Linked DNA regions of Arabidopsis thaliana. The protein of the gene in region 2 interacts with the protein of the main gene of each other region in a pairwise test. Each region holds a gene or a part of one and is shown on either strand. Other genes may lie near its edges.

What was found.
Region 1: the proteins of SEC8 (region 2) and SEC6 interact in a two-hybrid assay, tested with the Arabidopsis thaliana proteins (one study listed by BioGRID).

The regions. Positions count from the first base shown.
Region 1 is NC_003070.9:27,007,901-27,011,500, reverse strand, and holds the start of SEC6 (SEC6), read right to left. Parts: upstream 1,938-3,600; 5' UTR 1,627-1,937; intron 1,532-1,626; 5' UTR 1,480-1,531; coding exon 1,351-1,479; intron 1,158-1,350; coding exon 1,119-1,157; intron 1,033-1,118; coding exon 944-1,032; intron 857-943; coding exon 766-856; intron 596-765; coding exon 506-595; intron 401-505; coding exon 330-400; intron 79-329; coding exon 1-78. Other genes in the region: AT1G71810 (Protein kinase superfamily protein), read left to right, coding at 3,537-3,600. UniProt on the Arabidopsis thaliana protein: Component of the exocyst complex involved in the docking of exocytic vesicles with fusion sites on the plasma membrane during regulated or polarized secretion. Involved in polarized cell growth and organ morphogenesis.
Region 2 is NC_003074.8:3,220,750-3,231,034, forward strand, and holds the start of SEC8 (subunit of exocyst complex 8), read right to left. Parts: upstream 8,286-10,285; 5' UTR 8,011-8,285; intron 7,687-8,010; 5' UTR 7,608-7,686; coding exon 7,566-7,607; intron 7,265-7,565; coding exon 7,052-7,264; intron 6,759-7,051; coding exon 6,585-6,758; intron 6,352-6,584; coding exon 6,247-6,351; intron 6,024-6,246; coding exon 5,914-6,023; intron 5,768-5,913; coding exon 5,588-5,767; intron 5,196-5,587; coding exon 5,051-5,195; intron 4,969-5,050; coding exon 4,862-4,968; intron 4,522-4,861; coding exon 4,214-4,521; intron 4,129-4,213; coding exon 3,968-4,128; intron 3,870-3,967; coding exon 3,754-3,869; intron 3,258-3,753; coding exon 3,187-3,257; intron 3,110-3,186; coding exon 2,979-3,109; intron 2,897-2,978; coding exon 2,847-2,896; intron 2,698-2,846; coding exon 2,597-2,697; intron 2,204-2,596; coding exon 2,094-2,203; intron 1,913-2,093; coding exon 1,805-1,912; intron 1,358-1,804; coding exon 1,175-1,357; intron 1,096-1,174; and 6 more. Other genes in the region: FLD (protein FLOWERING locus D-like protein), read left to right, coding at 8,388-10,149. UniProt on the Arabidopsis thaliana protein: Component of the exocyst complex involved in the docking of exocytic vesicles with fusion sites on the plasma membrane during regulated or polarized secretion. Involved in polarized cell growth and organ morphogenesis.

The DNA.
Region 1 (3,600 bases), on a different chromosome or scaffold from region 2:
TTGTAATAGTTGGAAACATGACCCCATAGTGTCTTCTCGAATGTTTCCCATGTTCTATCAACATCTTCAAAATACTCCCTGAACCCATCAAAACAACTCTTTAGAAGTTGGTATGCATGCTCATGTAAAAAGAAAAGACAGTCCAGAGGCGGGATCAAATCATCATATGCACTACCAAAAGAGTAACAGCTCTACCTACTGCTCATTACTTTAGCATAGAGACCTATTTTCTTTCATAGCACACCAGTAACTCTTGAATTAAAGCTTTCGGGCTCACTTCATGTAAGTACAAAAAGCAAAGAAAGGAAACGAGTGGAATATATACAAACCTCAGCCTCCCAACCTCCTCTCCAGCAGCTGCTAATGCAAATCTTCGTTTACCATCAAGTGCTGTTAATCTCTATGGAAGAAAAACAGAATATTATGTCTTACACCAAACGTTCTTTTTTTCAAAGTGATGCAGTCAGAAATGCCTGGAATCCATGGGAAGAGGAACTCATGCTACCTCATAAGTGTTAACGATTTCTTTATCATCACTCAAAGAATCCCTAGCCGCAGCAGCTTCAACAGAAATTGACATCATACCTTCTACATCCTTGAAAAAAGAGAATGAGGTAAAAATAAGTTGACAAAAACTTGGAAAGCATTTAAACATCTGAGACGACCATGCAGAGCTATATATATTTGCGTTCAAGAATAAGTTAGAAGGACAACACTGAACCAAATACTGTAAGCAATACAATCAGTGCTCATCGGCATATCTACCTTTAGAGTTTTGTTTAGATTATTCCTGGCGTTACTCAGCAGCTTTATTTGGTCATGATTGTCAATCAAAGTTTGACATTCCTGACAAAGCCTGTGGCACAAGAAGAGAAGTTAGAGGGAGAGAAATGCAAAAGTTGGTAACTCAGCTTCAAGAATCTCTAGTCAAGCAAAAACATACTTGTCGATAGAAATGAAATTATCCCGCAGTTCATAAATGGTTTTCTCAGATGATGAAAGTGACTCTAACCCAGCTTGAGCTTGTTCAACCTGAAGTTTGTCAACAGCTATTACTTAAGAACAACAAAAAAGTCGAAATACATTAAAGTACAAAGAAGGCCAGATTAAAGCTGTACCTGCTCAGCAACCATAGTACTGAGCTGTGCATCATTTGCCTGATTGAAACAGCAAGCATCACTAGTCAGGTCATTAAAAATTTCCAGAAAATCGAAAATAAAAGATAACAATAGCATATCAAAACCTAACAACTCAAATCTAGCATTGCTCAGGAATCACTAATACTCAGTGCAAATGATACTTCAAAAGCCAATTCAGTTCCAATTGCAATTCAAAAGCAAGATGTCAAACCTGTTGACGAGCGATGTAATCGGCCTTGATTGAAGAAATAGACTGCAAAAGTTCAGGTAAGGGTAAGAGCTTCGCCACTTCTCGCACAGCCGCTTCCTTCGCTTCCACACCAAGATCTTCGACCATCATCTTCGCTAAATCACCTTATTTACGAACTCCGATCCTAAATTGAAGGCTACCTCTGCAAAGTTATTCAAAATTCCAGCACAATTACGATAACGCAGAGGAGAATCAAGAGATCTGGAAACAGAAACGTAGAGGAAAAATGGACGCAACCGAATAAGAAGTCATTGAGCAAATATCGAGAGCCAAATGTGCGATTCTCCAACTTCAATTACTTCGTCGTCCTCTTATCTTCTTCCTTCGCTGATTCTGAAGATCCTGGAAACAGTGATGTTGGACGCAGATCAGCTGGGAAGAGAAGCAACGATTAAATTTCTGGAACGAGTCTCATCTATCGTCTCGCGACTCTAATGGAAAGTTCGGAAACGCTGAAATTTTCCGTCTCGCCGGTTTTGATTTTTCTTTTTCTTTTTTGCCAGCTGTTGATGCAAACCTATTTTTTTTTTTTTTTTTTTTGCAAACGCTAACGCTAATTCGTTGAGCAAAACGCAAATCTTAACCCCATGCTCGGGTTCGTGTTATTTTTTATTTTTTGTTATATGTTTAATCATTTGAAATGTCACTAAAATATCATCGATTTTAAATCTTACCATAACGTATCGAATTCGAAAATATTAGTCGTAGGGGTCTGATTGGTTATCTAGCGATGTTACATACGTTTGATATTAATGGGGTTGCATATGTTTTGATAAGTTTATAATTTGACGACATGCTTTGCAAAACTTGGATGTGATATATTAGTTGTGATATCATCAAAGTTTTGCACATAACGTAGTACATGTAATATATAAGAAATAAATCGATGAGATGGATGGAATATTGAACTCGACGAAAAAGAAAAACAAAGCCTAAGAAAATGACAGCTTCCAAGTACAAACTATTTGAAAAGAAATTTGTAAAATCTCATAAATATCAATAGAATAGAGTTACAATATTTTGAAACAAATAATTATTCATCTAGAGTCCGTTTAGCGTAGAGGATAAACGGACGCACAATTTTCGACAATACATTTATATAAATATAATCAGTAGCAAAATGATAATAGTTAGGCATTAGAGTCACTAGGTAGTCTAGGTTCACAACATGGACATACCATGCGACGTAGGTAATGGCCATACAAGCACGAAGCAAGAGCTACCATAAGGACGCCCGATACCACGCCGATGTATTCTGTCAAATGATACATGTCCATCTTCTTGTTCACCACACCACCAATCTCTAATCTTTCTTAACCTTTTTTTTCGTGTACTGATTATATTTATATACATGTATCGTCGACACTAACTTTACATTTTTGTAAATATATCAGCAACATTTGGTAAGTTTACATTTTTTCATTAAGAACATACTAGAGAAAATTCGAAAGTTTACATTTAGGAAAAAATCGAAAATATATTATGTTCGAATTCTTTCTAAAATACTCCACAAACTGATATTATGATATTTACTAATTACTACTACTAGTAAAAATATATTTTAAGATATGTGTATTTCATTATTCAGCTTGTTTCAGATTTTGATGGTTTACATAAAAAGAAGAGTCATTGGTATCTAAAAGGAATAAGATCTACAGAGTTATATATCAATTACCAAATATGTGGATGTGATATATTCTTTATCTCTTTTATATATACACTAAATTTCTTTTTCTTCAAAGGAAGCATCCAAGGACAGATAAATAAACAGACAATCTACAAACTTTTTCATATGTTTTTCTTAAGTTTTAAACGTAATTATTATGAATAGTTTGGAATGATACAGTTTTAGTCACTAACCAAAAAATATGATTAGTAGCTAAATAAAGTACATTTATATGACATATAAATACTTAAAAAACGTACAAAAAGATTGGTGCCATTTGTGTGACACAGAAAATCCCAGCAAATGTCGAGAGAGAGAGAAAGTATAAAGAATGTGACCGGCAAAAAAGAGATAAAACAGTAGAGAACCATATTATTTGCCATTTCTTAGAAGAATCCACTGCATGATATTCAAAATCTCACCAACAACCATTGGCGAAGAAGAAAAGAAAAAGAAGATAACTCTGTAGATTTTGAAAGAGATGCTTCGGCTTCCTTCTTCTATGCCAATCGTTTCTTTTCCCGCCAATCCCAATCTGCTGATTA
Region 2 (10,285 bases):
GTAAAAAGAGGAAGAGTAAGAAACTTGGTGCAGAAATATCGGGTTCAAAAGATTGTCATCTCGCAAAAGCAGTTCAAAATTACATTGGACAGTGGACACTTAACAAGTATGTAATTCACAGCAATGAATTAAGATGACTTCATCATCTGGCTAACTAGATTCTCTCAGCAGAAGAAAGTGATATGAATATTTGATGGCTATGAAACTAAACAAGGCTGATTAAAGTGTATTCCTGGAATATTGTTTTTTTTTAAGTACATAGCTATAATCAGTCCTAACCTGTGAAGTAAGAGATATCACAAAGTCGTCCGGCTCTTCAGCATCCTCATCCTCCAAATATTCCCTATTCGTCATTTCCTTTTTAACACCATAGTATTTTCGTAAGTTTTACAGGCCAGAGATAGAATTCTCATAGTCATGCCACTTTCCTCACAAAGGGAAGATCCATCACATACCTGAAGATGAAAGACTGTTTCCAATTGCATCTCAACACGAAGAACCTTTAGGCAATCAGTCGCAAGTTTTCTGTACTCATCTGCAAATGATGCCAGATTCCTAGGAGAAGCTGCTTGATTTCTGCTATTACCTTCAGCTTGACTCGCCACACGAGGAACTGCTTGTCCAAGCCTAAAGATTTTGGAAATCAAAACTTCAGAAAGAATTTTCATTTGCTTGCTGTTAGGGAAGGAAGAACTGGCTATCTTTCTCGACATGATGAAGGAGCACAACAGAAAGGGTAAAAACAACATTCATGGAAGACCCCTTAAGTTATGCAAGCTTTTGTTTTACACTTGATGAAAAAGTTTTGTGAGTTTTTTTAAGTTTGAGCTGGAAAAGACAGTGATCAGTCTAATTTAGTCTCTTAGCTATCCTATTTTTACTATGCATGTCCTTTTTCTCTTTTATAACATCATGGAACTTCGCAATTTTCTGTGTCCTTAAAACATCTAAGATGTAATAAGAGATGAGGAACGAGCAAATGCATAAAGAATCTGAACCAATGAATCACCTCTCAATAGAGTCTGCCACGTATTCAAGCGAGTCACTGAGAGAAGCTAACAAAATCAGTTTGTTGTCATCACGAATTAGATTATCCTGTAAGAAAACAACTTAATTATCTTCACCGAATGAAAAATTCTTACTAGAATAAGTATCAGAGAACACATATTTTTACCTGCTTGATAGGTCGCAAACTCAAGAATAGGTCACTGAGTTCTACTTCAGTGCCAACAGCCTCAGAGTGAGAAACGGCATGGCCAAGCGTAGATGGTAAACAAGCACTCGCCGCATCAAGCCGCATCAATTTCTCAATATCATGCCTCCCAATGAGCATGTAACTGAGCTTCTCTAGAACAGCCTGAAATACTAACAATGAAACCTAAGGTCAGAAAAGTGTGTACGAAGGAAGAAATACAACGCTTTACATTTAGGGAAACTAAAGAGGTATTAAATGGGTAAGAAAATGCAGATTTTTTATCAAAGATGCGAAAAGGTGCATTTAAGACTGGCTCCATATTCTTCCACATCACTCTTTGAATCAATACTCTCTGAGGATTATTGCTTCTAAGCATTTAATGCCAAGTTCACATAGCCCAAACTGAACTCTAGCTGGTAATCCACAGTCATATCATCTAATTCATTTACCTCCAGTTGAATTTTTAACATCACATTACGCTGACAAAACTACTTTTAGTATAAACTTTTGTGCTATAGGCGCAAACCCCTAAACCAGATGCCCAACATATATAGATTAGAAGAGTCAAAAGGAAGAGGAAAACAAATAAGAAAAGAGGAATATCCATGCCTCCATGTATGATGTTCGACATCTCTCAAATGTCCTCTCAAGAAATGTCTGAACATACTTCACAAGATCAGTAGCAAATTTAGGCATGGCTTGAGCCCAGCCAAGAACCTATAAAATTTGAAGAGCAAGTAGTTTCATCAAAACACAAATATCTTGAAACTTGAGAAAACAAAAATGGATTAAATGATGAACTGGAAGTAACCACTCAACTAATCCATTCTTTTAGGAAGATGAAAATTATGAAAAATAAAAACTTTTATCTTGCAGTTTTAAAGCATAGACGACTTGCCTCTTTTGCAAGGAGATCTATTGCTAGAAGACCTTGTAAGATAGGTCGTCCCTTTTCTACGGTTGCGGTGTAAGTAGTTGTATGTGCACGCGGCCGAAATGCAGCAGCGCCTGCAAAATGATTTCAGAACCATGGGTTTCTAACCTTGAATTTATACAGAATTACACACCGACATTACTGGTACTTTGTTTTAAATAAATTAGTGAAATGTAAATATTCCTATAAAATATTTCATGCCAAGAATCTTAAAGATATCTGCAATAATTCTCAAAGATGCTTTAACTTTTCATAAAACTGCCATACCCTATATTGGCAGACCAATTCAATTAGTTTTGAGAGCAAATGCTTCTATTACGACTTTGTGATGGCAAAACTCCAAGTCTTTGGGGCCAAACTAACAGCCCACTTTTCAAGATGCAATTCTATGTTATACATTTAGAGAATAATTACCCTAAAATAGCAAAAAACTCTATGATCAAATCTCTATAGTATATGGGGTTTACTTGATATAGCTTGCTGTACGCCTTTCCTATAGTCCACAAACATTGTCGGTAACAGATGGTCCTTCACAAAGTTTTCAGTGAATGTAAGCAATCCATCATTCCTGCATCAATTATTAATAACCCGATGGTGAATATACTAGCAATTTCTCAGCACTTGAGAAAACAATAATTTCATTTTGGGCTTGTGAGCAAGTAGTTTTGCTTTGCCAGGATGACAGCCTTCAAAGAAAAGTGGAAATTTTGAACTTACACAAGCTGGGAATGCTTTTTGGGCAACATTGAAGTGATTTTATCTGTAAACTGCAAGACACATAAGATCATAAGTCTACAAAAAAAACTGATGACATTGAATGAAGATGCTTAGATGAACCAGAATCTAAACCTGAAGAACAGGCCGGTAAATAGATGCAGCTAGATATATTCCTTGTTCAGGCAAAACAGCTGCAGATCCATAACCTTCCAGTGATGCATTTGGAGCCCTCTTTCCCCAGCCTTGACGAATGAGATCGGCTCCTGCAATCAGCAGATAACGTCATCAAGTCCACCAAAGGCATTCTAACTAAAGAAAAGTCGGGATGATTGATTATTACCCTGATTAGATATTGATACAGTTGCATCTGTAAACCGAAAGGTGAATGTTAGGCCATCCTCAGGTGCATCCCTGCAGCCCAACATTATCAATCAAGTATCAATACTACTAATGCATATCTTACAAAATAGCCTTGCAAAGCACTATGATGCTGAAAGAGAATGCGACATGTTTGTATGTTAAACAACAGTTGAACTATTTCCAATATTGACATTTAAAAGGATAGTAAATAACCCAGACAGGCTAAAGATCCAGCAACCAAAAAGTTCAAATCTGTGTTATACTCCTCAGGGCTCCACTTTACTAGCGCGCTGAGAAGAACCTAAATGACAAATTTTTAGACTTAGGTATCGTAAAAACCTTCTTATTTTACTGTCGGAAGATATCTCAACCCTAACATCCTCTCTATATAATCGAATGACTACACCAGGTGATTCACACCAGGCCTTCAGAACCAAATCTTAAACGTCTAATTCTTGGGACATCTTTCATTGTTTATGTACCTACATGATAATGAGAAAATCACCAGGGTAAATGTATGAACTACCAATGTGTGTGGGTCACTTGCCTTTTGTCTTTCTTCGGAGCCTTCTTTGCAAGCTTAGCAGTTTGTGCAGCAGCATCTGCTGAAGCAGCTTCTGGAGTTGCTCGTAGAATCTCACATATGAGTTGTTGGCATTCACTCTTCATCAATTAACACATAGAATTTCAATAAGCGTAAGTATGAGAATCCAAACATTTAGCTTCACGACAAATTAGATATTTGGAGTATAATAGCAAACCTGTAAGACTGTCAAGGGAAAACTGATAGTGTAGCCTCCAGTAGCTTGGGATGCTTCAGACTCGGTGTTCCAATTCACATCAGTAGGCAATGACCTTGGTGTGTTAATGTCATGTTGTGAAGCCTTCATCTCCAAAAGCTCTCCAATAACAACATGATTTTCTATAGAAGCAACAGTAACAAAATTTTTGAGCGTTGACTATTGAAAATGAAATATTGAGATGAGTTTAAGAGTTGAATTTCTCACCAAATATCTTGACAATAGTATCTAAAATTGAGTCAAGAAGTTCCTTCGCTGCAGCCTGCGCTTTGCCTCCAGGAGCCATAAGAGGCGAAACAGGGCTCACAGCTAGGTGAGTTCCTGAATTTGATATCCCATTTTGAGGTTTCTCTTTTGATAACCGGTAGGCCTCTGACTGTCCTTTGATTAAATGCAATCCAGCAGCTACACTTCGATCACCCTGACTACACGCGGACTTTGACAAATTTGTAGTCTCCAGATGGGCTTTAATCTTGGATATTATGATTTCATGAATTGTGGGTCGAAGTTTTTGGCTGCAAGCGAACACAAAATCATAACTAAGAAAAGTTCACAATTTCTAAGCCGGAATGTGCTAATTTCCATCAAGTGGAAAACTACTGTGCTGCATCGGTTATCCATTTATCTTTAAATTCAAGAATGATAAAGGTTCAGTCCCAAAAATTACACATATACATTTAGTATCTAGTGATGACATGGGTGACAAGTTAACTAAAGAAATGAGGCCATCTGCTAGCGATCTAACACTAACAGATATTAAAGGAGTTATTAATCTATAACTATATCCAGCTGTGAAACAGAAACAGTAGCATTTATAAAACCATTTAAAAAAATGAAAATAATTAGAAAGCCAACCATATGATAGCACCAGCAGCTGCAACTTTGCCAAGCATGCAGAGACACTGAACAAGGGTCTGTAGATACTTCACATGCAGTGGATCATCACTCTTTCTTACTGCTTCCTGAAACAGGAGAAAACACATATCATGACACTAATGAAATATGGGGAGAAATATGTTATAAGGCTGAATCACAGACACATACAATAAACTCATCAGGAGTGGAATCAGAAAGCCATGGAGGAAGTTGGTGAGAAAGCAATTTACTATCAGTGCCATTCCTGGCAGTATCTGCGGTGGATTCATCATGTTCTACGGAGTCTTCTTCATCATGTCCATCAAATGATGAACTACGAAACACAATGTGATAAAAGATACAAACATTAGCAAAGTCAAGGAATAGCAAAACATGTAAAGTATATTTCGTAAAACTAGAACAAAGGTTGTGTGGCTAGACAAAGCAACTTCTGCAATAATCAGTTTACAGTATAGTTTCTTTTATCAACAAATATTCTAATGAAAGAATTTACAAGGAGAATCTCCACATAATGATTAGGAAATGATGCAAGTATATTAATCTCAGTATTAATAATAGAGCAAGTGAAAGCCTCTATGGAGAACTACAACTAAACAGACAGTTACTAAACATTGATCACTCAGAATAAAGTTAACAATATACACGAAAAAATGTTCCTAATATCTCATGAAGAATACACTGAAGGGAAAGGATGCTATATCATACCTTTCATCATTAGAAGCGGTTCTATATGAACCATTTGTGAGCCCTCTAACACCAAACTGACTATCACCTTTCAGTGTCCGTGTTCTACGTGACAGTGGTTGTGAGCTCATTCGACTAGCTGCAACAGCTGTTGTCGTTGGTACTTCATCATCTCTTTCATATATGCTTGACGCAACTGAACTGCAGCATAAACATGGTCAAGAACAGAAGATTGTGCACTGAAAGAAGTGATGAGGCAAACAATCAAACAAGCAGGCCACTAGATCCGAGGATAAAAAGCAGCACAGCTTCTGAAATTTGCTTATAGAATTGCAAAAGAAACCTACCTGTATTCACCTCTATTGTATAGGTGTGCATGCAAATCATCTAGAATTTTGAAGAAAAGGGCTCCCCGCAACTTAGTTAGCTCAGATCTGACATCTTGAAGAGCACCAACCTAGGTTAACGTACCAAAATATCTATGAGTTCAACATACAAGTGAACAGTAGATCCCTTGGACAGAGATATTTCTAAAGTCCCAACAGAACTTCGATGATCCCAGATCCTCTTCAATGGATTTATTACAAAACAATCCTAGAGATCAAATTGATAAATGAATGGGAAGACCCACAATATTCCCATGACAATGCATTTGTTAAAATTGGCAGTAAGTAAATTACCGTTTGAAGCCCCTCACGCTCCAGCATTAGAGACGACTGGAGATACACTTGAATAGCAGCGTAAAACTGCTTATCAGCAATGAGCTTCTCAATACGAGATGGAACCTGTTCAAGGTTTCAAGAGGCAGGGTCACCATTTTCACATCAGAAAAGCAGTTTCTTTTAAGTAAGCCAAAATGAAAAAAAAGTAAGTACATATATCGGGAGCATATCAACAAAAGTAACATCAGAGATACAGAGATGATGAATGAAGTATGAAACTTGATAGCAGCGCAGATACATAGCAAGCACTGTAAACTCAAAATAAACAAAGAAATGTTACAGCTAATCCAACCAACCTTGGCAATGCCCTCGATTTGATCCAAAAGTGAGATGATGTGCCGCAATGTAACAGAACGGTACCACAACTGATGTAATTGTTTATTGCGTGCACCCAAGCTCTGTTTCGCTTCTGCTAAATCGTGCTTCAAGTCGCCTATCTTTTCAGTGGACTCACTGAATAATCGCAAGATCTGATGAGGAATACATTGAAAGCAGAGCAAAAGAAGAGAGATAATCAAAACCAAGGTGTTCCACAAATGAAATTTTAGTAGATAAATTACAACAGAGGGTACTATTCCAAAAAGAAAATTCTACATGCAGAAACCATAGAAGCAGCCATAGTTAGTATCAATATTAGATTTGTTGTATCTTTGGCAAATGAAGCGTGCAATATGGAAGTCAATAAGCGGTAACAGAGGATGCTACTTTAGAATAACAGAACGAACTATCCAATAAAAAGGAAGAGCTAACAGATATTAGAAACCTGTGAATAGTTTTGAATGGCCTTGTTGAAACCACCATGATAAGCATGGACAACTTCATCAACAACCTCCTCGACAACATCACTTTGTTCCTTTAATATATGAATGTCAGCTTCACGGTCTTTTGATGTCAAAATATGAACAACATGTGGTAAAGAGTCAAATCGTGCAGCAGCCCAGCTCTCATCTATTCTTGCCAGCTCCTCCCTAAGGTACTGCAATAACCATCAACACTCAGGCACATATACACACACATGTACTCCAAAACCAAATACATAACCAAATCAAGAGTGGTGGTAATTCAGTCAATTTCTTGTCTAGCCATCGTACAACTTCTTACAATTAACTCCAACCCCGAAATGAAGAGATATAAGAAAAAGAACCGTTATACTTAAATGTCCCTATAAATCCCCAAGGGGATGAAAGAACACCATAGAACAACACAATTCCTCATAAGCCCAAACTTCAGGTTTTCCAACTCAAGTAGGAGTCTACGAGTGAGGAAAGTGAACTTACAGTTTTATCCGAGGGTACAGGCAAACCATTGAAAATCCCCATGCTGGCGAACTCACTCCGATTGGCTTATTAGAGCCGAAATGAATGTTCCTCAGCACATTCCAATCAAAGCTCTCTGTAGCTGAAAGCAAAAGTCCAAAACCCCAAGACGAGTTAAACACATACACGAGCTAGAGACCGCGATATTACGCAGTTCAGTACACACAAAGAAGCTAGTGGACCCAACGGCGAACATAGAATTCAAGTCAGGAGAACAAAATGTGAACAATTCAATCATTACTCCTTCAGCGAAAGATCTGAGAATCATAATTCGAATTACATGAAAAATTCAACTGATGACGAGACTATCGGCGTATACAAAAATTAATCAAACACTACGTCTGGAAGTAGATCTAGAGAGAAAAGAATATCGAGAAACAAATTCGATTTCAGCTGCGAATCTTACCTGGGATACGAATCCACGCTAGAATCTGATCAACACGTTCCCGATCACGAAGAGAAAAGCTAAATCTCGAGAAAATGGAGAAGACGAAGAAGAAAAGGTAAAAATCTATACGATACGCGTTTGTTTTATTCTCCTTCCAATTTCTTCTTCTAATTTTCCAGACTTTTCTTCTCTCTCTATTTTTTTTTCTTTTTCTGTTTTACTTTTTCCTTGTTTTCTGTTTTTTCCCAAATAATAATTTAAAAATCGTGGGAAACTAAATCATCAAAAAGCTCTTCAATTAAATAAAGATAAAGTTAATCCAGTAACCAAACAATCCTTTTCTTCTTCCTCTTCTCATCGATCACTCTCCTGCAGTTTCTACGGCGACGGAAACGATGAATCCACCGGATAATTATGTTCCGTCTGTTTCTCACTCTCAATTCTCTACTCCTCCTCCTCCACAGTCGAGCTCAAACACCAATACCGAAACAAGTTTGAATCCATTTCCGAATTCGATCTCTACCTCAATCTCTAACCCTAGTTTTGAGCAGATGGTCTCATTCTCCGCACCAAAGAAACGAAGGAGAGGACGTTCTCAGCGCTCAATGTCTTCGCTTAATTCCCTTCCCGTCCCTAACGTAGGTCTTCTTCCTGGTAACAGTAATTTCGTGTCATCTTCAGCTTCTTCTTCCGGTAGATTTAACGTAGAGGTCGTCAATGGATCAAACCAGACTGTGAAAAGTTATCCTGGGATTGGTGATGAGATCATTACGATTAACAAGGAAGCTACCACTGAAGCTTTGCTTGCTCTCACTGCTGGGTTTCCTGCTGATTCGCTTACCGAGGAAGAGATTGAATTCGGTGTGGTGCCTATTGTTGGAGGCATTGAACAAGTCAATTACATTTTGATTAGGAACCACATTATATCCAAATGGCGAGAAAATATATCTAGTTGGGTCACAAAGGAGATGTTTCTTAATTCGATTCCTAAACATTGTAGTAGTCTCTTAGATTCGGCTTATAATTACTTGGTTACACATGGATATATCAATTTTGGAATAGCACAGGCGATTAAAGATAAGTTTCCTGCTCAGTCAAGCAAGTCTAGTGTGATTATAGTTGGTGCTGGTTTATCTGGGTTGGCTGCAGCTAGGCAACTGATGAGGTTTGGCTTCAAAGTCACGGTTTTGGAGGGTAGGAAACGACCCGGTGGACGGGTTTATACCAAAAAGATGGAAGCTAATAGGGTAGGTGCTGCAGCGGATTTAGGTGGGAGTGTTTTGACTGGAACATTAGGAAATCCTTTAGGGATTATAGCGAGACAGCTTGGTTCTTCTCTCTATAAGGTACGAGACAAGTGTCCTCTTTATAGGGTGGATGGTAAGCCGGTTGATCCAGATGTGGATATAAAGGTTGAGGTAGCGTTTAACCAGCTTCTAGACAAGGCAAGTAAACTTAGGCAGTTGATGGGTGATGTTTCCATGGATGTCTCCCTTGGGGCAGCACTCGAGACATTCAGGCAGGTTTCTGGGAATGATGTGGCCACCGAGGAGATGGGTTTGTTTAACTGGCATCTTGCTAACTTGGAGTATGCAAATGCGGGCCTAGTATCAAAGCTTTCTCTTGCATTCTGGGATCAAGATGACCCATATGATATGGGTGGAGATCACTGCTTTCTGCCTGGAGGAAATGGAAGGCTGGTTCAGGCTTTGGCTGAAAATGTACCAATATTATATGAGAAGACCGTCCAAACAATCAGATATGGTTCAAATGGTGTCAAGGTAACTGCTGGAAATCAAGTGTATGAGGGTGATATGGTGCTGTGTACAGTTCCCCTTGGTGTCCTTAAGAACGGATCCATCAAATTTGTTCCCGAATTACCTCAGAGAAAGCTTGATTGTATAAAGAGATTAGGTTTTGGGTTACTGAATAAAGTTGCAATGCTCTTTCCGTATGTATTTTGGAGCACAGATCTCGATACCTTTGGGCATCTTACTGAGGATCCGAACTATCGAGGTGAATTCTTTCTGTTCTATAGCTACGCACCGGTTGCTGGTGGTGCTCTCTTGATCGCGTTGGTTGCGGGAGAAGCTGCTCATAAGTTTGAGACAATGCCACCCACTGACGCAGTGACTCGTGTTCTTCATATTCTTAGGGGTAATAGATTTCACTATCTATTGATTGTCATTTAATTGAATTTCAATTTTTACCTGTCAATATCAATCTTCAAGAATTATTAGTTGAGGATTTGTATTCCAGATTTGTTAAAGTTGATGCTAGCGTCTGACGCAAG